4 linked regions of the Coturnix japonica genome follow. The protein of the gene in region 2 purifies or fractionates together with the protein of the main gene of each other region. This does not show direct contact. Links are inferred from orthologs where the notes say so. Each region holds a gene or a part of one and is shown on either strand. Other genes may lie near its edges.

Evidence for each region.
Region 1: the proteins of EIF3F (region 2) and EIF4B purify together in Homo sapiens (affinity purification with mass spectrometry; 3 studies listed by BioGRID). This does not show direct contact. The link is inferred for Coturnix japonica from reciprocal best matches to the Homo sapiens genes EIF3F and EIF4B.
Region 3: the proteins of EIF3F (region 2) and EIF4G1 purify together in Homo sapiens (affinity purification with mass spectrometry; 3 studies listed by BioGRID, with this or other methods). This does not show direct contact. The link is inferred for Coturnix japonica from reciprocal best matches to the Homo sapiens genes EIF3F and EIF4G1.
Region 4: the proteins of EIF3F (region 2) and PRRC2B purify together in Homo sapiens (affinity purification with mass spectrometry; 3 studies listed by BioGRID and IntAct, counting the BioPlex papers as one, with this or other methods). This does not show direct contact. The link is inferred for Coturnix japonica from reciprocal best matches to the Homo sapiens genes EIF3F and PRRC2B.

Annotation. Positions count from the first base shown.
Region 1 is NC_029544.1:1,099,764-1,106,101, forward strand, and holds part of EIF4B (eukaryotic translation initiation factor 4B), read right to left. Parts: intron 5,136-6,338; coding exon 4,992-5,135; intron 4,584-4,991; coding exon 4,375-4,583; intron 4,104-4,374; coding exon 3,987-4,103; intron 3,586-3,986; coding exon 3,531-3,585; intron 3,232-3,530; coding exon 3,088-3,231; intron 3,004-3,087; coding exon 2,893-3,003; intron 2,380-2,892; coding exon 2,209-2,379; intron 1,819-2,208; coding exon 1,584-1,818; intron 1,487-1,583; coding exon 1,368-1,486; intron 1,277-1,367; coding exon 1,099-1,276; intron 654-1,098; coding exon 589-653; intron 482-588; coding exon 415-481; intron 336-414; coding exon 263-335; intron 1-262. UniProt on the Homo sapiens protein: Required for the binding of mRNA to ribosomes. Functions in close association with EIF4-F and EIF4-A. Binds near the 5'-terminal cap of mRNA in presence of EIF-4F and ATP.
Region 2 is NC_029521.1:13,753,419-13,761,111, reverse strand, and holds the start of EIF3F (eukaryotic translation initiation factor 3 subunit F), read left to right. Parts: upstream 1-3,413; 5' UTR 3,414-3,435; coding exon 3,436-3,709; intron 3,710-3,819; coding exon 3,820-3,890; intron 3,891-3,966; coding exon 3,967-4,046; intron 4,047-4,986; coding exon 4,987-5,124; intron 5,125-6,185; coding exon 6,186-6,277; intron 6,278-6,489; coding exon 6,490-6,626; intron 6,627-6,739; coding exon 6,740-6,853; intron 6,854-7,476; coding exon 7,477-7,554; 3' UTR 7,555-7,693. UniProt on the Homo sapiens protein: Component of the eukaryotic translation initiation factor 3 (eIF-3) complex, which is required for several steps in the initiation of protein synthesis.
Region 3 is NC_029524.1:13,909,047-13,916,837, reverse strand, and holds the start of EIF4G1 (eukaryotic translation initiation factor 4 gamma 1), read right to left. Parts: upstream 5,234-7,791; 5' UTR 5,115-5,233; intron 4,276-5,114; exon of another isoform or gene 4,256-4,275; intron 3,949-4,255; 5' UTR 3,888-3,948; intron 2,966-3,887; 5' UTR 2,932-2,965; coding exon 2,857-2,931; intron 2,746-2,856; coding exon 2,659-2,745; intron 2,379-2,658; coding exon 2,346-2,378; intron 1,469-2,345; coding exon 1,448-1,468; intron 1,235-1,447; exon of another isoform or gene 1,156-1,234; coding exon of another isoform or gene 1,117-1,155; intron 866-1,116; coding exon 692-865; intron 385-691; coding exon 285-384; intron 1-284. Other genes in the region: PSMD2 (26S proteasome non-ATPase regulatory subunit 2), read right to left, coding at 6,239-6,328, 6,408-6,575, 6,738-6,821, 6,999-7,144, 7,231-7,332, 7,416-7,578, 7,703-7,790.
Region 4 is NC_029532.1:4,782,683-4,789,873, forward strand, and holds part of PRRC2B (protein PRRC2B), read left to right. Parts: intron 1-225; coding exon 226-330; intron 331-894; coding exon 895-1,087; intron 1,088-1,594; coding exon 1,595-1,692; intron 1,693-2,229; coding exon 2,230-2,357; intron 2,358-2,825; coding exon 2,826-3,066; intron 3,067-4,050; coding exon 4,051-4,227; intron 4,228-4,467; exon of another isoform or gene 4,468-4,559; intron 4,560-4,861; coding exon 4,862-4,953; intron 4,954-5,496; coding exon 5,497-5,617; intron 5,618-5,996; coding exon 5,997-6,137; 3' UTR 6,138-7,191.

The sequences.
Region 1 (6,338 bases), on a different chromosome or scaffold from region 2:
CTCCATAGCTCAGCCTGAGTGTGGCATTGCCTCCAGCCCCATCCAATCCCACTGGGGTCACACCCAGGTCCCATCAGGTCCCTTACGGGACCCAATGTCAATGAATCAGACCCAGGTCCCACCCAATCCCATTGGGTTCACACCCAGGTCCTGTTGGGTCCCATTATGGTCACAGGTCCTGTCAGGTCCCATCAGCCCCAGTTCCCACCCAATCCCTCTGGGATCACCCCCAGCTCCTGTCAGGCTCCCCCTCCCCACTCACGGTGGCTGGGCTGTCCTCCAGTCTCTTTGGCTCAGGCGCAGCTCTCGCCTCGTGCTCCTTGCGGCTGTCTTTCCTGGGGAGGGATGGGGAGGTCACTGAGCGGGGTGACACGGGGTGGCACCCCCCCATTAACCCTAATGAGCTGCTCTCACCTCTCAGCTGAGCTCCCACTGCGCGCCTTTGGGCCATCCCGGCCCCCATCCGGCTTGTTCTCATCTCCTGGGGAGGGGACACGACCATGGGCTGAGGACGCTGTGTCCCCCCCCCAACCTCAGTGCCACCAAGGGGACAGTTGTGCCCCCCATCCCACTGCCTGCCCCCCTCACCTCTCCGGTGGGTGCTCCTCGGGGCAGCCCCGTTCTCTGCAGGTGGGCGGGAAGCCGTCTGGCTGCTGGGGGGACAGAGGGTCACAGTGGGGTGAGAAAGGGGGACAGGTGTGGGGTCAGATATGGGGGTCAATCATTGGGGTTGGCTATTGGGATCAGATATGGGGGTCAGATACGAGGGTCCACCACTGGGGCTGGTCCCGTGGGGTTAGATATGGGGATCCCCCATTGGCATTGGCCACTGGGATCAGATATGGGGGTCAACAATGAATCAGAATGTGGGGGGTGATCAGCCTTATAGGGGACTGATCGCAGGAGCTCCAGCCCCACACCAACCTTGCAGGGGAAGATCTGGGTTTCTGCCCCCCAACCCCTGCAGGGAAAACACCTGGAGCTCCCAGCCCCACACCAAGCTCTCAGGGAACCATTTGGGCTCCCAGCCTCGTGCTGAGATCCCAGCACAACACTCCAGGCTCCCAGCCCCATAGCAAGGCCCCCTTCACCCCTCACCTGCTGGGTGAGTGCTGCTCAGAGTCAGAGCCCGGGGAGCGCCCGGCGGTGCTGCTGCTGCGCTTGGCCCACGCGTTCTCCTTTGGGGGGGGTGCGGGCATCACCTTCAATGGCTGCTTCTCCTCACGACCCTCCTCCTCACCCTCCACCGACTTCTCACTCTCCCTCCTCCGTGTGGCTGCAGGGGGGGGGGGGTCACACAGCGGTAGGCAGGGCTGGAGATGAGACCCCCCATGTCTCCCATTCCCAGCCCCCTGCCCAACACTTACTCCTGCCGGTGGGGCCGGTGCCGGCGGTGGTGCCGGGGGGTCCGGCAGCTCCGCTCTGCGAGGACTCGCTGCCCGTCCGCGACCGCTCGGGGTTGTCCTCACTGCGGCTGCTGGGGTACCTGGAGGTGGGGGGCGAGAGGGGGGATGCGGCTCAGCGTGGCAGCCTGCAGAGCTCTGCCCACCCCCCAGCGCCCCCCTAACACCGCGTCCCCCCACCGCTCTCGGGGCCGTCGCTCCAGCCTCTTGTCGTCCTCCAGCTGCCGCTGCAGCTTCTCCTGTTCCTTCTGCAGCCTCTCCTCCACCTCGCGCTCGCGGGCGGCCGTGTCCACGGGTTTGGCCCCCCCGAAGATGGAGGCGGCGCGGCTGGACTGCGGTGCAGGGGCTGCTGTGCTCTCCTCCTCCTTCGGAGCGCTGCGCGGCTTCAGGTTCAGCTTGGGGCGCTGCGTGGGGCCTGTGGGGTGGCAAATGGGGCTGGGGGGTATCCAACACCCCCACATCCCATACACAATGCATCCTGCAGCTGTCCACATATCCTGTGCCCTCAATCCCACATTCTCCTACAGCCCCCCATCCAACACCCCCTACCCCAAAACACACATCACCCATCCTACATTCTGCATTCCCCTACACCACCCATCCTGCATTCCTCTACACCCCCCAATCCCAACCCCATCTCCTAAATGTCACTCCACCCCCACCCATAACCCCACATCCTGTATCCCCCTACACCCCTCATCCCACCCCACACCCTAAATCCCCCTACACCCCCACCCCATACCCCACATCCTCCATCCCCTCCCACCCACCACCCCAAGCCCTACCCCTCCCCTGCCCCCATTACCCCTCTCTTCACGCCGGAACTCATCCCTCCCGTATTCCTCTCTCCCTCCCCAGCGCTCGTCGCGCCTCTCGTAGCGGTCCTCATAGCGGTCGCTGCCACCCCTGAAGTCGTCATCGCGGCGGTAGCCACTGCCGAAGGCCCTTCGGCCACTGCCGATGCGCGAGTTGTAGCCTGGGGGGTGCAGAGCTCAGCCCCCCTGTGCCCACAGTGTGGGGACTCACCCACAGCCATTGGGAGTCACCCACAGGTAAATGGGAGTCACCCTCAAGATGCTGGAGTTGACCCTCAGCTATTGGGATTCACCCTCAGACACTGGGATTCACCCTCAGATACAAGGACACAACCTCAGCTATTGGGTTTCAGCCTCAAATATAGGGATTAAGCTTCAATATTGGGATTCGCCCTCAACTATTGGGACTGTCACCCAGGTACTGAGGTTCACACTCAGATATTGGGATTCACTCCCAGGTATTGGGATTAACCCTCAGATACTGGGATTAATTCTCAGGTATTTTGATTCACTCTCAAATACTGGGATTAACTCTCAGGTGTTGAGGTTCACCCTCAGATACTGCAATTCACCTTCAAGTACTGGGATTAAACTTCAGCTATTGGGATTCACCCTCAACTATTGGGATTTCCCCATATCTCCACTCCCACCCCCATGTGGCAGCACTGCCTCACCCCGGTCATAGTCTCTGCTGCGATCATCGTAGCGATCTCTGCCTCCAAAGCCACGGTCCATGTCGCGTCGCGGGCCGTCGCGATACCGATCATCATAGCGATCCCGATACCCTACACAATGGGGCCGGCAGTGGGGTCAGGGCTCACGGCACCCCACATCCAGGGGTCCCTGTTCCTGCCTTGATCCCGACTCACTGTCCCCAAAGGCGTCGTCCCCACGGCGCGGTGGGTAATCATCGAAGCTGTCGGAGGCGGCGGGACGTGCACGCCAGTCGCTCTCAAACCTCTCAGAGTCCCGGAAACGATCCCGGTCCCGTCCGAAACAGCGATCGTCCCGGTCTGAAGGATGGGATGGGGAAGGGAAAAGGGAGAGAGAAGGGGAAAAGGGAAGAGAAAAAGGGAGGGGGAAAGGGAAAGGAAAGAGGAATGGCAAGGGAATGCAAAAAGGGGAAGGGGAAAAGGAATGGGAATGGGAAAAGAGAAGGGAAAAGGGAATAGGAAAAGGGGGAGGGGAGAGGAGAGTAAGTGGCATCAGACTGGGGCTGGGGACAGAGCATAGTGCAGCACCCCACATGTGGCAGGGAGCACTGACGTTCTGGAACCACACAGTGCTGTACCATCGTGTGACAGGGACTCACCTTTATCCTGAGCTTGGTCAGCAACATCCACTCGTATCCTTCTGTTTCCTAGAGACTGGGCAAAAAAAAAAAGAAAAAGCGAGGAATCAGACCCAAGGAATCAGCCTCAACCTCCAAATATTGGCCCCAACCCCAAGGGATCAGTGAGAGCCAACACTGAGGTGATGCTTTAACACAGAGTAGGCGGGTTGTGCACCATCAGGGCTCTCCTGGAGAACCAAAAGCCAAAAGTCTGCTCTCCTTAGGGCCCTAAAGGCAAAGTTCTGCTCTCCTTTGGACTCTGAAGGCAACATTCTGTTCTCCTGGGGGTCCTAAAGGCAACATTCTGCCCCATTTCAGCCCTCCCCACACAGATCTGCCAGCCCCAGAGAGATCCAAACTTGGTGGTGCCACTTTGATGCCTCCTAGGCTGTGCAGAGCCTGCCCTGCTGCTGACACTTGGGGTCCTGAGCTCACCTCCTCATTGAGGCTCAGCGCCTGGAACAAGGAGTCAATATCTTCAAACTCAGCATAGCCAAAACCTTTCAACCTCTCCGGGTTGGTGGGCTCCCGCGGCAAGCGAACAGCACTGATCTGCAGGGAGGAAAGAGGAGGAGGAAGGAACGTGTTAGGGCCACTGTCCTGTGGTCAGAAGCAAAACCATGGGGTTGTCTGTGAGCCTGTTGGCCCCATTTAATCCATCTGGTAGAACCCAAAGCCATCAGATGGTTCTATGATCTGTAAGGACCCTTCCAACTCAATCATCCTATGGTTTGATAATCTCTCAGGATGTTTCCATCCCAACCATCCCATGATTCTATGATCTTCAAGGACCCCACTGTGCTGTGCCCCCCATGCAACTCACATTGAGGCCCCGGAAGAAGTCCTTGATGGATTCCTCAGTGACATCGTAGGGCAGGTTGCCCAGGAAGGCCGTGTAGGGCGGGCACTTGGGCAGGCGGCTGCGGTCAATGTTGGGCTCGCGTGCGGCGCGGGGGGCGGTGGGCAGCAGCGAGCGGTCGATCAGCGGTGCCCGGTACACATCATCATCATTGCTGTGCCACGCAGTGGAGACTGTGGGAGAGAATGGGTGGGCTGAAGGAGGTGGGCATGGCGTGGAGGTGGTGGGTTAAAAGAGGTGGCCATGGGATGCAGGGGGTGGCTACTGCGTGGAGGTGGTGGTCATGTGTTGCAGGAGGTGGCCAAGAGCTGCAGGGGAGGGTGGCCAAAACATGGGGGTGGTGGCCATGGGCTAAAGAGGGTGGGCACAATGTGGAGGTGGTGGCCATGGGCTGCTTGGCCAGAGCAAAGAGGTGGTGGCCGTGGGCTAGAGGTGGTGGCCACATCATCTAGATGGTGGTCATGTGTTATACACAGTGGCCACCCCACATAGATGGTGGCCAACTCATGCAGACTGTGACCCCTCAACATGGATGGTAGCCCCCCAAAAACAGACGGTATCTGCCCTAGGCTCGCTCTCACCCCTACCGTCGCCGTCCAGGTCATCGGTCTCATCAGCCCAGCTGACCGGCTTGGGGATGTAGGTGGGTGCACCGCTGCCGCCATCCTCAGCCAGGAAGTCGGTCAGGGTCAGGGTCTTCCCCTTCTTGTTCTTCTTCTTGGCTGCTGCGGGGTGGGGGGGGCGGCGAGATCGGCACCATGGCTCTGTCTGCACCCCATGACCCCCCTCCCATTGGTGGCAATGGGATGTGGGGAGGAGGGTGGGGGTCAAGGGGAGCATGCGGAGCTCCCTGCATTCACAAAGCTGCCTTGAATCAGTGAGGAGCTCTGCCAAAGTGGCACAGGTGGCACCAAATGTGGCGTAGAGCTCATCAGAATTGGCACAGGGGTCACCAGTACTGGCATAGAGGTCAGTAAAACTGGCACAGGGGGCACCAAAATCACACAGAGCTCCTTAGAACTGGCACAGGGGCCACTGAAATCAGCAGAGGAGTGGCCAAAAGTGGCACAGGGGTTGTTAAACCTGGCACAGAGCTCCTCAATATCAGCACAGAGGCAACCAAAATTGGCATAGAGATTGCCAAAAGCACATGAAGATACCCAAAAACATGTTGAGCACCCCAAAATCTCACTTAACTCCCCAAAAACACAAAGGGATCACCAAAACTGATGCAAAGCTCCCCAAAACCAACACGGGGGTCAGCAAAAGCACATGGAGACGTCCAAAAACATGAAGAGCTCCCCAAAATCTCACAGAGCTTCTCCAAACCAGAACATTGATGTGACTGCACAGGGCCAGCATGACAGCACTGCCTCCAAGCACTGCACGGAGCCCAGCAGCACACTCATGCAATGATGGTGCACTGTATGAGTCCTAGCAGTGCACGGGGTGCTGCTGGAGCACTGCATGGGGCCAGCATTGCATAGATATCACTGTGCATTGCACACAACCAGCACCACAGCACTGCCACCGTGCATTGCACAGAGCCAAGCCCTGCACAAACATGATGATGGTGCACTGCATGATGCCCAGATGTCAGTGCATATCACACGTCCAGCACTGCACCATGCACTGCACAGGGCCCAGCACTGCATGGGGTGGTGCTGGAGCACTGCATGAGGCCAGCATTGCACAGATGTCACTGCATATCACACATATCCAGCACTGCAGCGCTGCACCATGCATTGCACAGGGCCCAGCACTGCACAAACATGATGATATCGAGCTGCACAGCTCCCAGCAGTGCATGGGGTGGTGCTGGAGCACTGCATGGGGCCAGCATTGTCCAGATGTCACTGCATATCACACACATTCAGCACTGCAGCTGCACTGCACAGGGCCCAGCACTGCACGGGGTGGTGCTGGAG
Region 2 (7,693 bases):
AAGCATCTCCTACCATTCAAAAACCTTGTTTCAGAAAAGAAGGGATTTGTTCCTCATATTTGCTAAAAACAATCAACCAACTGTAAGATGCAGAAATGCAGAAGGCTGTGGTTTTTTCTGTATTTAAGCTAGCACGCACTTAATAAACCCAACCATTCTGTTAAAAGATTCTACATAATATTACAAGACACATACAGCCAAAAAGTATGAAACCAGCACCTACATTTTAAAACTAGGCAATTTATTCATATTTGGCATAGGGAACTGCTAACATCCGGAAAGGAGTTTTACAGTGTTTTCAGACAGAACCCAATGTAGACTTGAGAATGAAAGTAATTTCTAGACAGAGCTGGCAGAGGGATGACTGGGCCTGGTGAGAGATGTGTCACACAAATTCTGCCATTGGCACAAAGCAGCCTTGCTGGCAACTATGGAAACAAATGACCGGGATGGTATTTCAGTGATGGATCAGCTCTCATTATTTGTTCCAATGCAAAAAAAAAAAAATATGCAAATGGTTGTCATCCAGAATAGTACGTGGCAAATTCCAAGTGTTTGAGAGAATTAGGACAGAAAATCCCCAGAACATCTAAAACCCACTCTGGAAAAGTTGAACTTCTCAGGTCAAATTACAGTGGGCATAAGAAATCAGTTGTGAACTTGCATCTGTGAACAAAGTCCAGATTTTCATAATGGGGCTGAAATTCTCATCAGAACAGCGTAACCACTGTGTTTGTGTAGTCCCCTATCTGCAACAGTAACCAATGCTAAACAGAGCAGTGAGGGCTTACGATTTTGCTGGAGTGCTGAGCAGCTTGGAGCCAGCTCTCTGTGCAGATCACTCAGCCAAAACTGATCAGTTAAGACTGACTGGCTAACAAAATACAGAAGGTGAATTTATATATGTCAGTGCTTTGAGCATTTCAGATCTAGAGACAGACTAAGACAGCATTTTGCAAAAGCACCCCTTGCAAATACTACTACTACAGCTAAAGAATTACGTAAGTTTCATGTTGGAAAAACACTACAGAAATAGCTACTTTCCTCCTCCCAAGTAGGCTGGACTGACTCTTCTTCCCTTTCTGAAATTCATTCTCTAGGTCAGGAAATGCACCCTCCAGCTTCCTCTCAAAGCTGTTTCCTTAAAGATCAGAGACTTCCCTGCCTTTCCTCAGCAGATTGTCTGTGGATGTCCCCTATACAAACCTAGCCAGTCAAATATATGGGTCAGATCTGACAGCTGTGGAAAACCAAAACACAAATGTTAAATGACTTCCCAAAGTCAGTGGCAGACATGGGAGTGAAATAACACTAATTGTTATGAAACACTACATTGGAAGAGCAAAGATACTACCCAAAGCACACCTCTGCCACTCCCTCAGTTACATGAATGGCTTGTCCAACATAACCCAAGATGCCAGCAACAAAACCACAATGGGCACTCAGGACTCCCAAGCTCCAGTATAGAAACCATCCCCTAAATTTTATTGCTTGAGTTCCTTTTCAGCTCCTACTGTATGCAAATGAAAATCTTTTAACCTTCTCTCTCACTGCCCCCCTATATTCAGCACAATGTAGCTGCTTTATGCTAGAATAAATAAATAAATGGAATGCAGAGCTGTGAACAGTCAACACCATCTGACTCTGACAGCATAAAAACCACATCAGAGTTCACAAATAAGAGCCCTGGAGTGCACAAAATAGCAGCATTTTTGCCATTCTCTCTCTAGGCAGGTTCCTTACACTATTTAGATGAAATATGGATTTCCCAAACTAGTCACTTCCCTTCTGCACGCAGGTTCCATCCCAAGCCACCAAAGCAAATGTTTGTGCTGGCAGACACAAACAGCTCCAGTCCCAGAGGTCTGCTGAGGCTGGATGTAATTCTGGTCTGGGCTCCAGTGGATGGGAAGTGCTGATGTCAACCCAGAGAACACTGAGGAAAGGACACTCATCCATGAGAAGCAAAGTTGGAAAATTGTTCTATAAGAACAAAGGGCAGGGAGCTCTGCGTGGGGCCGCGCCGCCACCTGGCGGGGACGTGCGGGGCTGCATCTGCTCGAGCGGCTGGGGGCTGGATTGGGATTTCCATTCTAGCTTTAACATCAGCAGCTCCCCATGTCAAACAGGATCTCTAATAATTAAAGTAGCCCCATAAAACATTGCAAAAAAAGTGAGGAACGGTTTGAATTCCTTCTGCTAATATGAAGACATATCAACCAATGCATTATACTAGAAATTAGGCTGCCAACAATAGCCGTTCATCTACTAGCAACCACAAGTGAACAGGAAGCAGAGGAGTATCCAAAACACTCCATTGAGGCTGAATAAGGAAACTACCACTTAGTTTTAATTTAAAACCCAGAAGCCACTGACCATCACTACTTCATACTAAAGCCCCAGAGAAATCCTAGTAGCAATTGGATGGACCAGTATGATAGAAAAAGCATTACAAAAGAGATGCAATGATAAAAGGACCAACACAGTAGAAAGGTGCTATAAAGTAAGAGAAGATTGCTCACCTGTATCAGAAAATTCTAGGTTTGCAGCATAAAGCTTCACTAAGGAGAGATCTCCAGGAAAAAACCCTTTACTAGCAGCAGTCAGCCCTTAAATAAGGTCTAAGAGAGGTGCAGGCAGGCTGCATCCCCTCCAGGCACACAGCTGAATTGCCTTCACCTGTGCTCCCAGGGCTGACCAGTCCTTTCCCCAGCTGTTCAATCAGTGGTTCAGGCCGTGACTCAACACTTACCATACAGTCCTGAAAAACACAGATAACCAACAGCCAGCCAAAGCATTGGCAATATGACCATGAGAAATGGCAGAGAGGGAGTTCCATGAACACAGTGAGAGCTGGAGACACAGACCTGATGTTCCAAGCAGGAAAAGAGACTTCCATTCTTTGATACCAACAGATTCAGAAAATCAGTCTTGCTATTCTTTTTCCTAATTATGCTTATCTACATGAAATGCATATTTTATTTTACCTGTAATTCAATGCAATATTTTTAATGTACTCTAAGGGGTTTTTCGCCTCTCAACAAGAAATTATGTTTATTCCCATTGCACAAGCAAGATGAGACGATAGCTACTGATATAGAAATTATATATCAGCTGTGAAGATGCAGCCGACATAACAGCACATGCAAAAGTAATGGCTCAGTGACGTGTAAGGGCTGTAAAAAGAAATCACACCAGAGAATCACAGAATTGTAGGGGTTGGAAGGGACCTCTAGAGATCATCGAGTCCAACCCCCTGCCAAAGCAGGCTCCTACACCACGTCACACAGGTAGCACAGCTCTGCCTTTGGCAGACAGGAGCTCAGCGCTGCGCCAGCCCATGAGGGGGCGGATGCTCACGGAAGTGGCGTATGTGACAGGCGTTCCGATCAGCCAATTGTCGTGGCCGAGGTCTCTCCCCTTTCTCTTCGCAAAATGGCGGCTCCTGCTCCCGCTGTGGCTCCGGTCCCTCCCGCTGCCGCCCCGGCTCCCAGCCCCACGGCTGCTCCCACTACACCCACGGCGGCCGCGCCCCCTCCGCCCTCAGCCCCGGCGGCACCGCCGCCCTCCGCCCCGCTGTCCGCCGCGCTCTCGGGTCCTTTCCCCGGCGGCCGCGTGGTGCGGCTGCACCCGGTGGTGCTGGCCTCCATCGTGGACAGCTTCGAGCGGCGCAACGAGGGCGCGGCGCGGGTCATCGGGACCCTGCTGGGTAAGAGCCGCAATGCCGCAGCCCCCACTGATACCGCCCCACTGATACCGCCCCACTGATACCGCCCCACTAAGACCAATACCGCCCCACTAACCGCTGTCGTCCCGCAGGCACCGTGGACAAGCACTCGGTGGAGGTCACCAACTGCTTCTCCGTCCCGCACAACGAGTCCGAGGATGAGGTACGGTGTGGGGGCTATGGGGGATGTGCCATCGGGGCTCCTGCACCCGCTGACTCGGCTCTGTCCCCTTCCCCAGGTGGCTGTTGATATGGAGTTTGCCAAAAACATGTACGAGCTGCACAAAAAGGTGTCTCCCAGTGAGATCATCCTGGGCTGGTGAGTTCTATGGCCACAGGGAAGTGCGGGCAGTTGTGCAGGTCCCTCAGATACCTCAGATCTGTCATTGCTGTCAGAGGCTGGAAAGCAGAAGCAGCAGTGAAGTCGTGCCATCACTCAGGATAGGAAAGGATGCTGTCGCAGACTTAGAGCGTTTTTGGTTAGTCTAGAAGAGCTGTCACAGACAGGAGGGTTGGGAATGCTCATGGATCTATTAGAATGCAGTGATACAGTCTGTAAGGTAACTAGCTGGAGGGAGAACACAAAAGTACCAAAGGGCTGGTGGGAAACGGTGATGTTAGCCTGAACACAAGGGTGTTCTCTGAGTAAAGGTGGAAATACCTGTGATGGGGTGTTACAGGAAAAGAACTCGTTTGTGCACGGATAACTGGCCTCGTTTGTCTATTGACATCCTCTCTGGCCCCTTTCTATGGAACAAAATCCTACAAGCGCAGAACTCTTGGCTTCCTCAACAACCCATCATGGCACAGCAAGGTGCAGTTCTCATGGCAGTCGCTTTCCTGTGCATGCAAGAAGTTAATTGCGGAGCAATTGAAGGAGCGAGATGAACAAGCCCTGCCTCCTGCACAGGGGTGTTTAATTTGTTTAAGATTTACTTTGCTGGTCCAAATTTGCTTGGCATGCTTTGATTTATAAGGAAATAAAGATTTGGCCCAGAGCATAGTGACAAAAAACTGACTCTTTTTGATGGTAATACAACACTGACCCTGTGCATGTTTTGGGCATGTGTGCACTCAGCCTATAATTCTAGGAGAGCCATAAAACTACACATGACCTAGTTATAATACTAGTCTTTACTATGTGTCTGCAACTCAGTGCTTGGACATCAGGGTTTTAGAATACAGACCTGTTAAATACCAACAAATACTGGGCATTTGAACATTAGAAGAGTGGTCTTTCAACATTTGCTTTTTCCAAGGTACGCAACAGGTCACGACATCACAGAACATTCTGTCCTGATCCACGAGTACTACAGCCGGGAAGCACACAATCCAATCCACCTCACTGTGGACACAAGTCTCCAGAACTCACGCATGAGCATTAAAGCCTATGTCAGGTACATGGGGACAGGAACTGTCTGAATTACTAACAGATATTGTATCAGGATGGCACCTACAGCTTGATAGTGTTGCTTAGAGCCCTATCCAGCCTCGAATGCCTACGGGAATGGGGCATCCACCACATGTCTGGGCAACCTGTGCCAGTGCCTCACCACCCCTATTTTAAAAATGTTCTCTTTTTGTCCAATGTAAATCTCCCCTCTTTTAGTTTGAAACCATTTCCCCTTGTCCTATCACAACAGACTCTGCTGAAGAGTCTGCCCCCCTTCCTTCATATAGCTTCCCCTTTAGATATTGAAAGGACACACTCAGGTCACCTCACACCATTCTCCAGGCTACACAGCCCCAGCTCTCAGCCTGTCCACGTAGCAGAGTTGTTTCATCCCTGGGATCCTATTTGTGGCCCTCCTCTGGATGCACTCTAATAGGTCCATGTTTCTCCTGTGCTGAGGACTCTGCATCTGGATGCAGTACTCCAGGTGAGGCCTCACCAGAGCAGAGGGGCAAGATCACATCCCACTCCCCGCTGGCCACGTTTCAGGATACAGTTGGCTCTCTGGGCTGCAAAGCATGTTGCTGGCTTGTGTCCAGCTTAACATCCATGAGTTCCCCCAGGTCCTTTTTGGCAGGGCTGTGCTCCATCCTTACATCCCCCAGGTTATACTGATAGCAGGGGTTATCACGACCCAGGTGCACTTGGATTTATCAAACCTCATGAGGTTTACCTGGGCACACTGCTTGAGTCTGCCTAGGTCTCTTCAAATGGCATTTTATCCCTCAGACATGTCAGCTTCACCAAGAAGACAGTACTGAACTCATCATGCGCTTGTACTGATAAATGTCAGACCAGCTAGGAATATTTTTGGATGAAAATTTGCAGTTAATAATATACCTGTATTGATTTCCTGTCCTTGGTTATACATGGTATTAATATTGCTGATTTTACTGACAGTGAGTAACCTATTCGTGTTCACACTGTAGTGCTAATAAAGATCATTGAGATGGAAAATTATTTCCTTTCAGATGTGTCCATGCTGAATTTATGTGTTTTTCCTAGTGCCCCAATGGGAGTCCCTGGTAAAACTATGGGCGTGATGTTCACACCACTGACAGTGAAGTATGTTTATTACGACACAGAGCGGATAGGAGGTGAATGCTTTATTCCTATTTTGGGTCTAACCATTGTCGTGATACTGTTCAAATGCTGTTTGGTTATTAAGCCTGGTAAAATTACCACTCTGGGGGGGAATTAAACTGTCTCACTGAACCTGATGCTATCCTAGAGAGTATTGAACAAGTTAAAGTTTTAAGCTGCTTTCTGTGTCAGTCGGATTTCTCAGTGATCCTGGTTTTGCTTTCAGTGGATCTCATCATGAAGACCTGCTTTAGCCCTAATCGAGTGATCGGCTTGTCCAGTGACTTACAGCAGGTGGGGTCAGCCTCAGCCAGGATTCAGGACACCCTGGGTATGGTGCTACAGTATGCAGAGGATGTACTGGTAAGGCAGACTTTATATGAGACTGAAGATAAGTTTGACATAAGATTATGCATCTGTTTTTATGTTTTTATTACTGAGTTTTACTCATGCTGAAGTGTGTTTCTTATGCATAGTCTGGCAAAGTGGCTGCCGACAACACCGTTGGGCGTTTCCTGATGGATCTTATTAACCAGGTGCCAAAGATTTCACCAGAGGACTTTGAGACGATGTTGAACAGCAATATTAATGTGAGTTCATTGTCTGATTTCTAAGCGTATTGCCAGCAATTTTGAAAATATCATACAGACACAATTTTGTTTATGAACAAAACTACCTTTTCATACCAACACGGTCATAAAAAATACAGCCCTTTCTTGTCTCTAACTTTATGTTTTAAGAGCTGAAGGTGGAGAAGGGAGCTTAAGGATAACTAGTGACTTTCCCTGCCTTCTCTGCCTGACCTGAAGTTCTGTCTCATGACAGAGCACTTAAGAACCCAAACAAGGTTATATTGTGCTACTTTATTTCTGTAATGGATATTTGGAAAGCTGAGTTTCTGAATCTGTTATTTGCCCGTAGTCTGCAAGACCACAACTAATTTTTAATTTTGCTTCCACCCTTTGACTCTCCTGGTTAATACTGGTGAACTCTAAGTTAAAATTTCACAAGTGCTGCTTCATGTTCCAGGAATACCAACACTTTCTTCCTGTAAGGGAAGCATTCCTCAGGGTAGGACGTTCGGGACTAACAATAGTTCCAGTAGCTGATTGTAAAATGCTTTACAGGAGGCGTTAAAGATTCACATCTCCATACCAGGCTCTCATCTTTGTTAAAATTTCTGATGACTGTTTTTTTTCTTTCTTTCTCTCAGGACCTTCTGATGGTAACCTACTTGGCAAACCTCACACAGTCACAGATCGCTCTCAATGAAAAACTTCTGAGTTTATAAAGAAACTTCTGCCACCCTACACTTGAAAGAGCCTCAAGAGTGAGCAGATACACACTTCCATGGCGATGTTACAAATTCCCTCGGACCTTAACTTAATTACCTAAACGACTTGGTTTACATCTTCATTTCTACTTCCCTG
Region 3 (7,791 bases), on a different chromosome or scaffold from region 2:
AATCTGTCCCGATTTGGAAAAGGAGGTGGGTGGACAGATGGGACACGATGCACGGCCTTCAGGAATGCACTGGGAGACATAGAGCCCCCCCTAAGATCCCAAAAGAGCACGTAGTGGCGTCAGCAGTCACAGAATGCACCTCACAAAACCCAGAGACACAGGGAATTTGTGCTCAGCCCACCAATTTGTGGGGTTGCAGGGAGGCCAGAGTCAGAGGAGCAAAAGGGATGAAGCATCGTGGATGGAAGAGCAATGGCACACAGAGTAATCCCCCCAGTCTGTACCGTAAGTCCCAAACTCTGTGGGGCTGGCTCCAGGGTAAAAACTAGGGGCACCAGGCTGAACTGGGTACTGTTGTGTTGGGACAACGTACGTTGAACGACCCTGAAATAGGGGAGAAGAAAGTTGGTTATATTCCCAGCAGGGCACAGGCAAATACCAAACCAGTGCGTGCCCCAAACCTGCGTGCCATTAAGGCAGGGCACAGGACACAAGACAAGCATCAAGTACCCAGGGTTAGCCCACAAAACCCCACAGGTGCTGCCCCTCTGCAGAGCTGGACAACACCCTGATGGAGTCAGGGACAGCTCAGAGAACCAGGGTAACCCCCTCCACCTCCCAGAACAAACTTGGGCTCCAACCCTGAGCCCACCCCAGCCCAATCCCGCAGAGCCCGGGGCACAGCCCTCACCTGTCCGGGAATGTAATAGGCTCCTTGGGAAGGTGTGTAGGATATCTGGGAGGGTATCATCATCACCTGGGAAGCAGCTGGATACACATGGGCAGGAGGGCCAGGCCGGGCCGTTGTGTTGCTCTGCACGCGGGACGCGCTGGCAGGAGGCTGGGCCCTGTTCTGGTAGAAATGCTTTGGGAGAGACAGGGATGCAGTGAGGCCAGAGCAATAGCACCCCCCTGCCAAAGGGACGAGGCAACCGAGCCAGGCCCCCCCTCTAACCCAGACAGAAGGTTCACAGCACCTATCACCCCAAAACTCATCCTAGGCACAGGGAGCACCCCTGGGTGGAGATTTAAAGAGGGGAGCCCCCCCACCAGAATGCAGCTCACCCCTTACACCCCCTCCCCTCCTTTCCAGGCACCCCCTACTGCCCCACACACCTGTGGGGGGCCCACCTGGCTCCATCCGACCCAGCTCATGCCCAGCACAGCCCACTCCCAGCCCAGCAGGGCCGGCAGCGCCCGGAGCCGGCCACGGCTGCACGCAGCTCATCGGCACGTCCCAGCGTGCCTTGCAATGGGGGCCGGCACTCGCGCTGAATGCCGGGACCTGCAGTCCCACTGTGCCATGCTGCAACGTGCAGGACACGCAGCCCCTGCAGCACTGCTTTACTGGGTGGCAGCACCCCAGGGCTGGGGAACAGGCAGCAGGGAAGGAGGTGTCTGCACGTCTGGTGTGCAGGGCAAGGCTGGAGCAAGGAGAAAGCATTACCTGGAGAGACCTGAATCCTCCCTGATAGCAAGTGCACGCAGACAGAGGGAGAGGGGAAAGAGAGAGAGACAGGAGTTACACTGCCGCGCTGGGGTGGGATGAGGGGATGGGGTGGTGAGAGGGGACGGGGTGGGAGTGCAAGCGTGGTGCTGTGGGATGGAGGAGCAGCAGCCAGGCTGCCAGTGTGATGGCCACATCCCAGATCCACCCATGCTGGGGGACGCGGGGAGCTGCCTGCCCCTATGGAGGTCCCTATGGAGCCAGGGGGACCCAGCACAGTGTGGATGTCACTAGGTTTGTGCCCAGCTGTTCCTTGGAGCTGAATGAGGCGCTTTGCTCAAACTCCCAGGGGCAACAGCTGCAGCGTTGCAGGCAGGATGCAGGGGGACACATCCAGCTTGCTGGGCACAAGGCCTTGTCCACCTCCTGGCACTGTCAGGTCCCAGCCCCACCATGGCTGCAGCCTCCCACAGCCTAAGGGACATGCTGGGTACACTGCAGAGAGACACTATCACTCCCAGGGCACTGCATTAGTCAGGGACAGGCCAGCAGTGTGACACAACTGCTGCCTCAGGAGACCCCCCCCACACTCCACCCCACAGAAAGAAGGAAGAAGAAGATGAGGAGAAGGGCACAGGCAGAAGCAGAGGCCTGGGCTGGGACTAGCACAGGCAGAGCCACATGCACTAGACTTCATGCAAAAGCAGCCAAGAAACTCGGGGACACCGCAGTGAAACCCCTCCAGCTGATCCCACTGAGTAATGAACCTCTTTCCTCCAGCCTGCTCCCCCCTGGGGCTCGGTGCAGCTCCCCACGTTCTCCCCAAGTGTTTCTGTGCAGCGCCAGGTGCTGGGGCTGCCCCGGGCGCTCAGCATGCAGGGTAGGGACTGGTTAGTACCTGCTGGTGAATAGCACGAGGCCCTGCTGGAAACTGAGAGAGGAGAGAGCAAGGTTTGGAAAGGGGAGGAAGGAGAAAAGAGCGGTCACTTGTTGGGTGCCCTGCAGGAGCTGTCTGCCCTCACCCCAGAGCCAGGGAGAAGGGAAACCATGATGGAGATTGGGGGCAGGTGCACGCCAGCCCCCTAAGGCAGGATCCTCATGCCCCCAGCACTGCTGTGGCCAACCAGGAAGAGCATGGGCTGCTCAGTCAGGAGGCTGCAGATCTTAACCAGCTCCCCAAAGCCTCATCTTCCCCATAGCAAAGCCCTTACCTGTCGTGGCTGAGAAGGCGTATTCATTTGTGAGGTCGGTGTCGGGTTAAAAATCACAGGTGCCGTCTGACCAGGTGGGAACGCTGACTGCATAGAGGGAACCAGTGGGCACTACAGCCTCTAGAAGCCTCATCCCAAATCAGAGAGGCAGCTGGGCACCTCCCACCCCCAAAAGCCATCGGAGGGGCCGTCTATTACCTGTGGAAGTCCGGGAGAAGGGGCAGGGTGCGGGGCTGTCGGGGCTCCTCCTGTGGGCTGTGGAGCTTTGTTCATTTCATGTGGTTGTGCATAAGGATCCCCTTGCTATCTGCAGGCACAGGCATAAGCTAAATGGCATCGTGTTCACAGCCTGCAGTAATCTCCTATCCTAAAACAGGGCCACGCAGCCCCTCTGAGAAGCTCCAGGAGCTGGGGTGGAGTTGGACAGAGGCTGACGCCGGGGTGCCCTGGCTCCACCCCGGCTGACCTACAAAGCGCTTCCCCTGGCCGGCCAAACCTGTTCCTGCCGGTGGTGCCAGGAGCCCAGCTCATGCCGCAAACGCCTACCGGGGAGGGCAGGGAGCAGCTCCCACGTCCCCCCCATGCCACCACACCACCACCACCACCCCCACCTCCAGGGACACAGCTGGGTCCCAGGAGGGACTTGGCACCATGTTCCACGCTTCCTGCCCGAGTGCAAAGGGCACCTGGGCAGGAGAGAGGAGGTGCCCCCCACGCTGCAGCCCATGGAGGGGGTCCCTGTGTCCCATGGCAGCATTAGGGCAGGGGGGGGAGCCTCACTGCCAGCAGGGCTGCCCCACGAGCAGTGCCTGTAACCCGACGCCTGGCTGCGTCAGCAATTGCCGGCCTGCCGGCCCCCCAGCCCCTCTGCTGGCCCCCCTGCCCTATGGTGAGCAAGGCACAGCCTACCCCCCTCACTTTCCTGTCACCCCCCAGGCGTGGGGGTAGCAACCCTCAGAAGGACCCGCAGCACCAAATACAGCCATCAGCCCTGACACCATCCAGGTGCTTGGATGGGGCCCGATCCTATACTCAGGGCACTGACAGTGCTGGCTAATGGGGGGGGGCTAAAGGGATTCAAGGTACAGCAGGGGCAGCAGCTCTCTGGGACAGCCAAGGCACCGGGCCTACAGACACACCGAGCTGCCCACCACCACCACAAGGCCGGGCCCACAGGGAGGGACACCACAACCCGGCCCCAAAGCGCCTGCACGGCGCCCCATACTCACCCCCCCGCGGGAAAAACCTGGGCCGACTGATCGGGCCTGCAGAGACCTTTCATCCGACTGACTGGGCCGGCAGGAGGGGAGAGAGGGGGGGAGAGACACAGTCAGCCCGAGGCATCGCAAGGGGCCGGCTCAGGCCGCGGGTCCCGCTGCCGGGCTCCCGGACCCGCTCGGGCCCAGCCCCGCCCCGCCGCCAACCCCGGCACGGGGCCGAGCCGAGGGGCCGCTCGGTGCCCCCAGACGCGGGCTCAGGCCGCACCGCAGGCGGCACAGGCCCGGCCCTACAGGCCCGAAGCGCCGCCCGAAGGGATCCGGGCCCCGCGGCTCACAGGGCGGCTCAGGCCCCGCGGAGCCCGTTCCGTGCCGCCTACCGGGCTCGGACACCTCCAGCCTTCCCCCCCCGCCGTGTCCGTGCGGCCGCCCGCGTCCCGCCGTGCCGTCCTTCCTCCCCCGCCGCGGGGCGATGACGGGGCCGTTCCCCCGGGCCGGGTCGAGCCGCCGCGGCGTCTGCCGGGCCCCAGCACCGCCTGACGCGGCCCCGGACCGGCCCGACCGGCTGCGGGCGGGGGGCAGAGCGGGGCAGAGCGGGGCGGCGGTGACTCACCCCGGGGCGGAGGGGAGGTGTGTATGTGTGTGTGTGTGTGTGTGTGTGTGTGTGTGTGTGTGTGTGTGTGTGTGTGTGTGTAGGGGGGGGGTGTTAGGCCGGAGGGGCCGGCTCCATCTTGGCGGCCCCGGGATGAGGAAGGAGCGGAGCGGGACACGGCGCGGGGCCCAGGGCGGCACCCGGCGCTTCGCTCCCCCCCGCGGCGGCGCGGCCTGTGCCAAGGACACGTGTCACCGCCGCCCGCCGCCATGGCCCCGCGGCCTCACACCGGGCCCGGGCGGGGCGCTGGGGCGCGCCACGTGCGGCGGAGCGGCGGGGCCCGGCGGCGGAGCACGTGCACGGCGGCGGCACGTGGGGAAGGAACGGGCGCTCGGGCCGGCTACACCGGAACGAGGGGCCGAGAGACGGCGCTTAGCGCGGATAACGGCGTGCAGACCGGCGGCGCCCACGTGGTAGCGGCGGCGCTTGTAGCGGTAGCGGCGGGGCCCGGCGGCGCGGCGATGCCCGGCGGTTCCACGCCGCGGTTCGGTTCACCCCGCCGCACTCGGTCCCGGTGCCGGTGCCCCCCCCCCCCCCCCCCCCCCCCCCCCCCCGCGGCGCGCTCCCGCCCCGCCCCCGCCCGTTACCTTCAGTCTCCTTCAGCGCGCGCGGCCCGACGCAGCCGCAGCGCAGCGCAGCACGACCATTTCCGGAGCCAGCGCGCAGCGCAACCACGGGGGGAGGGGCACAACCAGCGGGGGAGGGGACACCGACCGGGCGGCACCGAGACCGAGCGCCGCCCCCCGCCCGTGTCACGTGAATGGAGGGACCGGCGGGGGCACGGACACACAGCGCGACCCTCGGAGCTGCACGGTGCGCTGGGTGCTGCCCGACGGACAGGCTCAGAACTGAAGGGCAGCACAGCAGCACCGATCCACGCAGACTTTATTTCCTCATCTCCCAGTAACAAATAAAAACAACCCCCCCCCCCCCAAAAAAACCCCCAGTCATTCTCCCCCCCCCCCCCAACCACTCAGCCCCCAGCCCCCCTCAACAGTCGTAGTATTGCGGTTCTTGCCGCAGGATGGGGGAAAAAACGAAGCCCTCCAAGATGGGGGTTGACGGGCACGTGCTCCTCGGTGGCCAGCTCTGCCCCGCCTCGCCGTGTGCCAGCAGCACAGGGGTGGTGTGGGTCTGGAAGCCGGTGATGGTTTTGGGTTTGCCCGCTTGGCCCACCACATCCACAGCCTGCAGGAGCAAGCATGCTGAGATGAGGAGTTATGGGATATAACCCCCCCCAGCCACCCATATCAGGCTCCAGCTCCTCACCTGTCCAACCCGAACCGATACAGGCAGAGGACGCAGCTCCTCATCGAAAGTTGACCAACATACGGCGGCCTCGCATGGCCGCAACCAGCCCGTACAGGACATAGTGGGACTTGCCCAGGATAACTGAAAGGGGATGAAAGGGAGAGTGTGAGTGTGGGAAGGAGGGGATGGATGAAACACTCTATGACACGTTACTCACTGTTGCGCACATCCAGGAAGGACACGAGGACGGTCAACAGTCAGCCTACAGCCACCGTGGCTCATGAGCTGCCCTATGCGCTGTTGCGTAGGGGCACAGGGTGAGCGTCCCCTTACCCAAGTGGGTCAGGCCCTGGTGTGGCACAGAAAGCACGTGAGCACAAGTGGGGCAACACGTGGTGGCCCCCCCATCCACAGCCACCCCCATCTCTTCCCAACCACAAGTGTGGGATCATCACCTGGGCTAACCGCACCATGAAGAGGTTGTTGGGGTCCTTGGCGTGGTACTGGGCGAGCTGCCGCAGCATTGCAGCCAGCCGGGCGTTGTTGGTACCTGGAGAAGGCAGGGATTGAGGCACCGGCCTGGTCCCATGGCTGCCCACCATAACACACAAGCTGCCACCCAGGCTTACCACTGCCCACCATGCCCATGGCAAAGATAGAGTTGTAGGAGACTTCAGGGTCAGCATCGTGGGAGAACTTGCTGAGGGTGTCCAGGATGTTGAGACGGGGGTTAGAACAGAGATTAGCGCCAGGGCCAGGGGCACAGCACGGCGCAGGGTGGGCTCCCCATACCGCAGCTGCATGGAACAGAGAGAGAGAAGATATTAAAACCCAGGTAGGGGCAAGGGCACGGTGGGGCATCCACAACCCAGCTTACCAAGGCCAAGATGTGAGAGAAGATCTGCCCTCTTCATCCAGGTCCCTTCCCAGCCCCACATTGTCCCCCAGCTGCCACTCACCAGGTGACCAAACGTGCGCAGGGCCATCTCTGCACCAATCTCCTCACCCATGGCAATAAGTGCAATGCCCAACACTGCTACACCCTGCAGAGACACCAGTACTGAATGCCAGGCAGAGACCACCAACTGCAAATGCAATCTCTTACAGCCCAGCTGGACAGCGAGAGCAGAGGATCCTGCTGGGGCCACTTCCTCTGGGTCTGACTCCAGACAGGGCAGCTACTGGGCCTGGGCCGCAGGTTCCAGCCCAGGTTTTCCTACCTGGTGTGCTCCCATGTCAGCTGAGTTTTCTTTCTTCTCTTTCTCCTTTTTGTCCTTCTTGTCTTTGTCTTCCTCTTTCTCCTTGGAGTCAAAGTGCTCACTGCAGATGTGCAGAAGCTGCTGTACCTTCAGGACATTCCCTGAACCTGTGAGGTCAGCAGTGGGTAAGGATGAGCAGAAGGAAGGCCTGGTCCCACTCCCACCTCCCTCAGCCTTGGTCAGCTCAACGCACCAGCATAGGCACAGATGTCTACCAATGTGTTGGCAAAGCTGCGGAACGGCTCCGACACCACCTCCAGCGCTGCCAGGATCGCCTCGATGGCTTCTCCCTTGCCTGTGAAGAGGCACAGAGTTCAGGGCACCCAAGAGATGCTCACAGTCCCAGCTCACAGGACCACCAGTGCTGCCCTTTCTTACCCAAGTGGTTCAAGCCCAGGCCAAGCGGCAGCCACCGGGCATAGGTGTCCTTCAGCTCCGTCTCTGATTTCTCCATGATGGTTTGGAGGATGGTGGAGGTGACATCCCCATTGCAAGAGCCCACAGATATCATGCCACAAGCCAGGGCCGTCACACCAGCCACCTGGGGAGGGAGCCATGTTCTTAGGGCACAGCACATCACACAAGGACATGCAGAGCCCAAACCAGCCCCAGCATCCCCAGGAGCTGTCAGGGACTCGTGCAGCACACCCTGCTCTGCTCCCTACCTCCATGCTGGACTTAGAGTCCCCCATCACTGGCAGCAGCAAAGTCAGGACATCCTCGCGGTTGGAGCCCGCGTAGGCCAGCCCCAGCC
Region 4 (7,191 bases), on a different chromosome or scaffold from region 2:
ACTCTATGTAAAGGGTGTGGTTGCACACCTTCAAAACTCTGTTGATTCCATCACAGTGGAATAACAGTTCCACAATAACAGAGGGGATAACAGTTCAGTGCAGTACTTAACTCCTGCTCCTGAGGCTTGAATCCTTTGAGGTGTATTTACTTTAGCTGCCAGCTGAGGCTGTATTACCTCTTGAATTTCTCCTTGAATATTCACCATTCACCAATCTGCTCTCAGGCAGGGCTAACGCAGACCATTCCCATTCTGCGAAGAGATCATCACCTTCAGAGGTGCATTGGCCTGAATCCAATGTCCTTCCCCACCGCAGAACTTACTCTTAAGGTAAGTAAGCTGGCATATGTGCTTGTCCTCAAAGTGGGTACCTTGTCTGCTTGACCAGAGTAGTGAGGGTGGAGTGGTCTTTCTCCCTGTTTTTAGACACTGCTAAATCTGTAGGTATTTCCTGTATTAGTGAAGTATATTCGCTATTTATCATGGATGAAGAGGGATGAGTTCCAGCAGTCCTGGGTGCTGAAGTCCTCGTTAATTGTAAAAGTAAACATGTGGCAGAGCTTTCTGAGTAGTGACTGTCTCAATAAGTGAGTAAGGTGACTCATCAGTGATCTTAGACACCTGTTGTTTAAAAACAACAAAAAGCCAACAAAAAAGAAATACCCCTCCTTGCCACCCCGAGAACAACTTATCAAATATCCAGGGGGATACTTACCCTCAGGGAATGGATATGAAGCCACTTGATCAGAGATCTGTTAGCGTTCTACTCTGATTGGAGTGGGTTTAGACTGAATTAATAGTTTACAGATGAGCAGCTCTAGACCTCAGTATTATCCTCCATGTTTGAATTGTCTGCAGATAATTGTCTACAATTATCGCCCTTCATTTCCGTAGATGGAGTCTGCTCGTAAGGCTTGGGAAAACTCTCCTAGTTTACCAGAACAAAACTCTCCAGGAGGTGCGGGCTCAGGCATCCAGCCTCCTTCCAGTGTTGGAGCTTCCAATGGTGTCAGCTACAGCTCTTTTGGTGGAGTTTCTATGCCTCCTATGCCTGTGGCGTCCGTAGCACCTTCTGCATCTATTCCAGGTATGGAAAAAAAGAAACATACCTGGAGTCTGGTTCCTGGGTCCCAAAGGACCTCTCTTGAATGCAGTGAGAGTTCTTCTCATTTCTCAGTTCAAAATGGATAATGAGTCAGCCATTGTAGCTAATTTGTTTAGAAAACACTCTATTTCCAAGTTAGGTCATTTATTTCCCTCACTCCCACCCTGGCAAATTCTTCACCTCATTTTGTTTGGAGATCCCATGTTCAGATATGCAGGCACAGGAATGGTGTACTGCTTTCCTCTTGGTGCCGCTCAGGGTAAAAATGGCTTTTAGATTGCTTATGTGAAGGTCTCAAATATCCTGTTTGCCCTTTCTGTTCCTCCTAGCTACAGATTTGCGGTGATTGCAGAGCAGGTTTCTGGCATATAGGAAGAGTTTGGAGCAGAGATTGCCAGTTCCTGAGCTGTTAGTCTTAGTGGGCTGGTGGGTCTCTATTGGGTGCTGTGCCTGCACCTTAAATTACAGCCTCTCTTCTCTGATATTTAGGTAACCATATTCCACCCCTGTATCTGGATGGCCATGTATTTGCAAGTCAGCCCCGCCTGGTTCCTCAGACGATACCTCAGCAGCAAAGCTACCAACAAGTAAGGGAGACATGTAACTAGCTAATGTTTTTTCAAGAAGTCTTCAGGGTGATGTGTAAGAAACAGTGTTTATCTCTCTGATAGTCCAAGGGATCTAGTCCAAGTTCAGGTTGTGTATTAGGAAAAGATCACTTGCTAAGAGGGTTCTTGGAACAGACTCCCCAGGGACGTGGTCACAGCACAGAGTTCTAAAAGCATTTAGACAACATGGTTGGACATGTCATTTATTTTCTTTAGGTAGTCCTGTGTGGAGGGTAGGAGTGCAAGTAATTGCAAACTTGGTGCTCTGTGTGTGTACTACATTGGTCCCCTTATGTATCCATCAGATGCCTCTTGGAATACTCTTCTCTCTCAGGTGCCTGTGCAGTTTCTTTCCCTGCCATTGTGCTCCTCTTTTGTAGGAGGGGCTGTGCAAAGCTGCAGTATAGGTCATTGTCATGGTACGTTAACTTATTGAGGAAACTGATGGCTTTATAATAGCCTAGGAGAGATTTTGATTGCTCTTGTACCTCTCAGTGGTCTCAATTTCTTCCGTAGGCGGCTGCTGCTCAACAGATTCCCATTTCCCTCCACACATCCTTGCAGGCCCAAGCTCAGCTTGGCCTGAGAGGTGGTCTGCCTGTTTCTCAGTCCCAGGAGATGTACAGCTCCATACAACCCTTCAGGTAACTACAAGAACTGCTTACTGTTCTTGGAAGAACATACTGTTCCTTCAGTAAGAACTGAAGGAATGAGACATCCGCTTCAGAGTTGGGCTGGCTATGGGATTCATATATTCTCTACCCTGTGGTTTTTTTTTTATATTAAAGAGGGCAAGGGATCAAGGTGGTTCTTGCAGGCCTCAAAAATCTACTGGAGCTGGTTGAATCTTTTAATTCATGATTTCTGCTTTGCAAAACTTCTGGTAAATTGAGTCCTTCCTTTACTACTAAATCCAGAAGATACTGTGCAGAGTATTAATATGAACTTTGGATGGGACACACTGTCATTTTGTTGAAGACTCCTGCAACACAAGGACAGAATTGCTGAGAACTGTTTGCTGACTGGAAGCCAGATACCTTTTGTTAGGCATTGTGTTTGTAGTCTCCAAAGGTTTTCTACATAACAACTTAAGAACTGTTTTTCTTCTCCAGGTCTCAGGTGTATATGCACCCCAGTCTGTCTCAGCCCAGCACCATGGTCCTGACAGGAGGCACTGCTCTAAAGCCTCCATATTCCGCCTTCCCAGGCATGCAGCCCTTGGAGGTGGTGAAAACCCAGTCTGGATCTCCCTATCAGCCCTTGAATGGAAGCCAGACCCTGGTTTATGAAGGCCAGATAAACCAAGCAGCTGGTATGGGAGCCTCACAGATGATGGACTCTCAGCTTACACAGGTTAGGAGCAGGGCTTGCAAGTCTCTCTTTTATCACTTGTTTCTGAGACTGGGTTGTAACTAATAGCTGCGTTAAATCGTGTTTATATGAGCTCAGTTCATTGTAAAGAGGTAAAAGGCTTTTTCATGAGATTCTTCTATGAGCTGTTGCTTCAAAAATACAGCATCTTATTTAATGAGATTCTTACTAATTACTTGCATGTCCCCACTATGATGACCTTTTACACTGAGAGATGTCCTCACCCTCCAGACAAACGCTTTGTGCAGAATCAAACCTTGCAGTGCTTCCCAGGTAGAAGGCTCTGATGCGATGGTTGTCTTAAAAGTACTACTTCTAAGAGCCAGAGCCAGCAGGGTAATTTCAGCCTTAAGTTTTTGTTATTTTATCCCAAAGTGATGTCATGGTACCTCCCAAATGCAGCAGTTGCAATTACTGCCAGATAAATCAGAACAAACAGGAGGTTGTTGAGACATGAGCTGCTTCTTGTAAATACCCTTTAATTATTACCATAATCAAATTGAAATTCATTGCAGAAGATAGAAAGAGAACCATTGCTTTTTCTGGAGATGCTTTGGTGTGAAAGTAGAGCAGACTTCATGGCTGGGCTATTAAAGCTGCAAAAAGAGTGTCTGATGCTGTCAGATCTGTCTGACACTGCTGTTGGGTCAAGAGAAAAATTACACGTGCAGACAAGGAGGAAGATTGAAAAACTGGATGAAGGTTTTGTGCAAGGGGAAAAGTGCAGTTATGTTAATAAGCTGATGTGTTAAAAACCCAGCTGGCAGAGTGTCGGCAGTGCTACCAGCTCGTGATTTTTCAGTGTAAAATTTCCTCTTGATACATTAATTTGCATTTACCCTGTGCCAGACTGCACTATTTTTGAGATTCTTTGTAGCAATACTGTGCTTTCAGGATATTAGGAGAGAGCATCTCAACCCAATGCAGCAAACACTGCTACTTTAACTACATGTCCTTATCATACAGCTAACGATGCCTGTGCCTGGCTCCCAGCTTCCGCTGCCTCGTTATGGCTCTGGCCAGCAGCCCCTGATTCTGCCACAGTCCATCCAGCTTCCTCAGGGGCAAAACCTGTCTGTAGGAGCTCCCCGAAGAATTCTTCCTCCTGGATCACAGCCTTCAGTTCTTGCTGCCAGCAGGGAGGTGAGGATTAACTGCAGCTTTCCTCCTTGATCTTGCTTGTTAATGAAGAGACTAGCTTGCTGGGGATCCTTAAGTCTCAAACGCAATTACTGGTGTTAAAACGAAGGAGCCCTTTTCTTCTCATCTGGCACAGGCCAGCAGTCTTTCAGGTTTTACTGCTGGTCATCATTCTGTTTCCGGAGAGCCATATCTTGCCTCGATCCAGTTTGGAGTCTCCAGTTTTATTACGTGTTTACACAGGTTTCCCCAGAGTGCTTGAGGGGTGGTGAGCTCCAGACACAGTTGGAATACTGCCCAGATATTTCACACTGTTGTGAAGCTTTTCCATTTGAGTAGGTATATTAATGTCATGTCTGGCTTGATGGATTTGTATCATAAGTTTGTCTATTCTAGGGTTGAGAGAGTACAGCAATTAACTTCCAGGTTTAGAATTTGCTTGTGCTGCTGGCATGTTCATTTAATACAAGCAGATCTTTTTCACTTTAAACCCTAGTTTTCTTCATCTGAAAAATGTTTCTTCTTTTAATGGGCACATGGGTAGAAGGGCAGAAGTTTAGTTTAAGCATTCATATAAAGTAACAGACTTTCCCTAAAAGCAGAAATGATATATGCTCTTGCTCATTTTCCTCTGTAGTCCTCCCAAATGGAAATGAAAGGCTTTCATTTTTCCGATGGTAAACAGAATATGTCCTCTGGAGGCTCTGTACCATCACCACATGCATACAGGTAAATACTTACAGAATTTGGCCTCTGTAGTCAGAACGAGGGAGGAGTAGTGTTCCCCATTTGTGGCAACATGGTGCATATACATTATCCCTGTGTAAGGTCCACTTGGGTTTTCATGTGTAAAATTTGGTGTAGTCCAAATGCTTATATCAAAATGTTAACAGCTTTCGTTCTTGGTTAGGGACCAGTGTGTCTCTGATGTGGTCATTGATGCTTGTGGGAACTGTCTAAAGTTATTTGTTTTCAGCATTATTGAGGCAAATTGGAATTCTGTTTTTGTATGTTTCTCTTTAGGTAGAAAATTGGAATCACTGAGTAGATATTTTAGTTCCAACATGGTCTCATCTTTTCAAGATGAGAGTCAGTAATATGCAAACGTTCCTTCAGGTCACTAAGGTCTCCTTGAGACTTTCAATACTTCTAAGAAATCCATGTGTTTTCTTTTGAGCTGAATTCATGTGTTCAGACTCATGCTCTGTCTGTTGTTGCTTTTTGCTCTTTTTTTTTCTTTCACACATGAATAAGGTTCTTGTTCCATTGTAGAATTTACTCCATGAATGTTGTCGACTCTTCGATTTCCAGGCCTAGCTCTGCCAGCCCAAATGGGAAGCCATCTGGACCAGCAGTTAGTATGGGCTCTGTGCAAGGACACTATGTGCAACAGGTAGTGTATGTCAGTACTTTGACCCAGTAGTGTCTGCTCTTCTATAGCATCACCCTTGTTCCTTGTACTTGAGAGAGTGACAGTGTAGTTAAGAAGTGGAAGTTATATTAATTGCAGGGAAAGCAAGAGAGTGGACTGAGTGGATGCTGTACTGAGCCCATGAGTAATGCTCGGTGATGGGAGGTCACGACAAGTTAGATGGTTGCATGTCACGTGGTGCTTATGTTGGATATTTATATGGGCATTTGAGATCCTTTGTATAAGGTGTATTATGGTGGCAGACAGAGAAGACAATTGAATTCTGGAGCAAATTTGATATCTTGCATGGATGTTGGTCACCGATGTTTTTTCTAATGCTTCTTTTTCTATATGTCAAAAGGCAAAGCAACGGGTGGATGAAAGTAAAGCCAATCTGGGAGCAGTAAAGCTGCAAGAAACTGCCTCCACGAGCCAGATGAAACCAGTGCGCACAGGAGCGATCAAACCTCAGGCTGTAAAAGTGGAGGAAAGCAAGGCCTAGGAGCACAGCTGATGCCCAGCTGGTCCTGCTGGCTGACAGGCCCTACAGCTGAGACTGAACCCCACTGGATCTCCTGAAGATCTCACCAGACCTACACCTGCCCCACACTGAACTGACTACAGTGACATCATCCAAGTCCCTCTCCTAGCAAAGCAGTTTGAAACAGTGGATATGACATTGACCTGCTTGCTTTGAAACAAACCAACCATGTGACTTTTAAGTGGCTTAAGCCTTTCTCTTTTTTTTTTCACCCCCATGCCCCATCCATGGGTAGCTGTGATAGCTCACTTGGCAAAGCCCATCCTTCTCCTTCCCTACTTCTGTCTCAGCAGAGTGGCAACTGAAGGAGAGGGGGTTACTTAGAGGTTTTTCATTTTAAAGGCAGCTGAGGTTTTTACAGAGAAAAAAAGCTATATCCTTGTTTATAGCAGAACTTTTATATGTTCTCTCACTTCTTTTTCCCCTTTCTGCTTTCCTCATTTTTTCCAGAAGAGAAGTCCCATCGACTAAAACTATATTCCGACAGAACTCCTGATTTTTATATGTAGTTCTGTGCAACACTGAGAATCGATACTCTTCTAAATTGAGTTGGATTGGGTATATTTTCCCCCAGATAATTTAACCTTTCAGATTGAGTAAAAGCAAAGCAAACAACATCAGTACACTTACAGCGTTCATGAATTTTTCAGTGTTTTTTGTTCTAAGCTAGAAGCAGTGCTTGCATTAGAATAAATGTGTACTAAAGTATATAGTAGATCAGTGCATTAATCTTGGAAGTTGCACCATGTTAATTGTAGCTTTGGGGTGCCTCGTGCACAACAAAATGTGGCATTTTCGTTTTAAGGAAAAACGCACCAAACTTCTGTTGCAAGCTCCTCTGGATTTAGGGATTTTTGTTTGCTCGTTTTGTAGGTTTGAGATTTCTTTAGTGACTGCCAAACATTGCAGCAAAATGTAAATCATGGACTTGCAAAATGTAAAATCTTAAGAGAAATCTCCTCACCGCTCATGGGTCAGAAGAGTTGGCTAGAGCCAACGGGTTTGTTTGGACTAC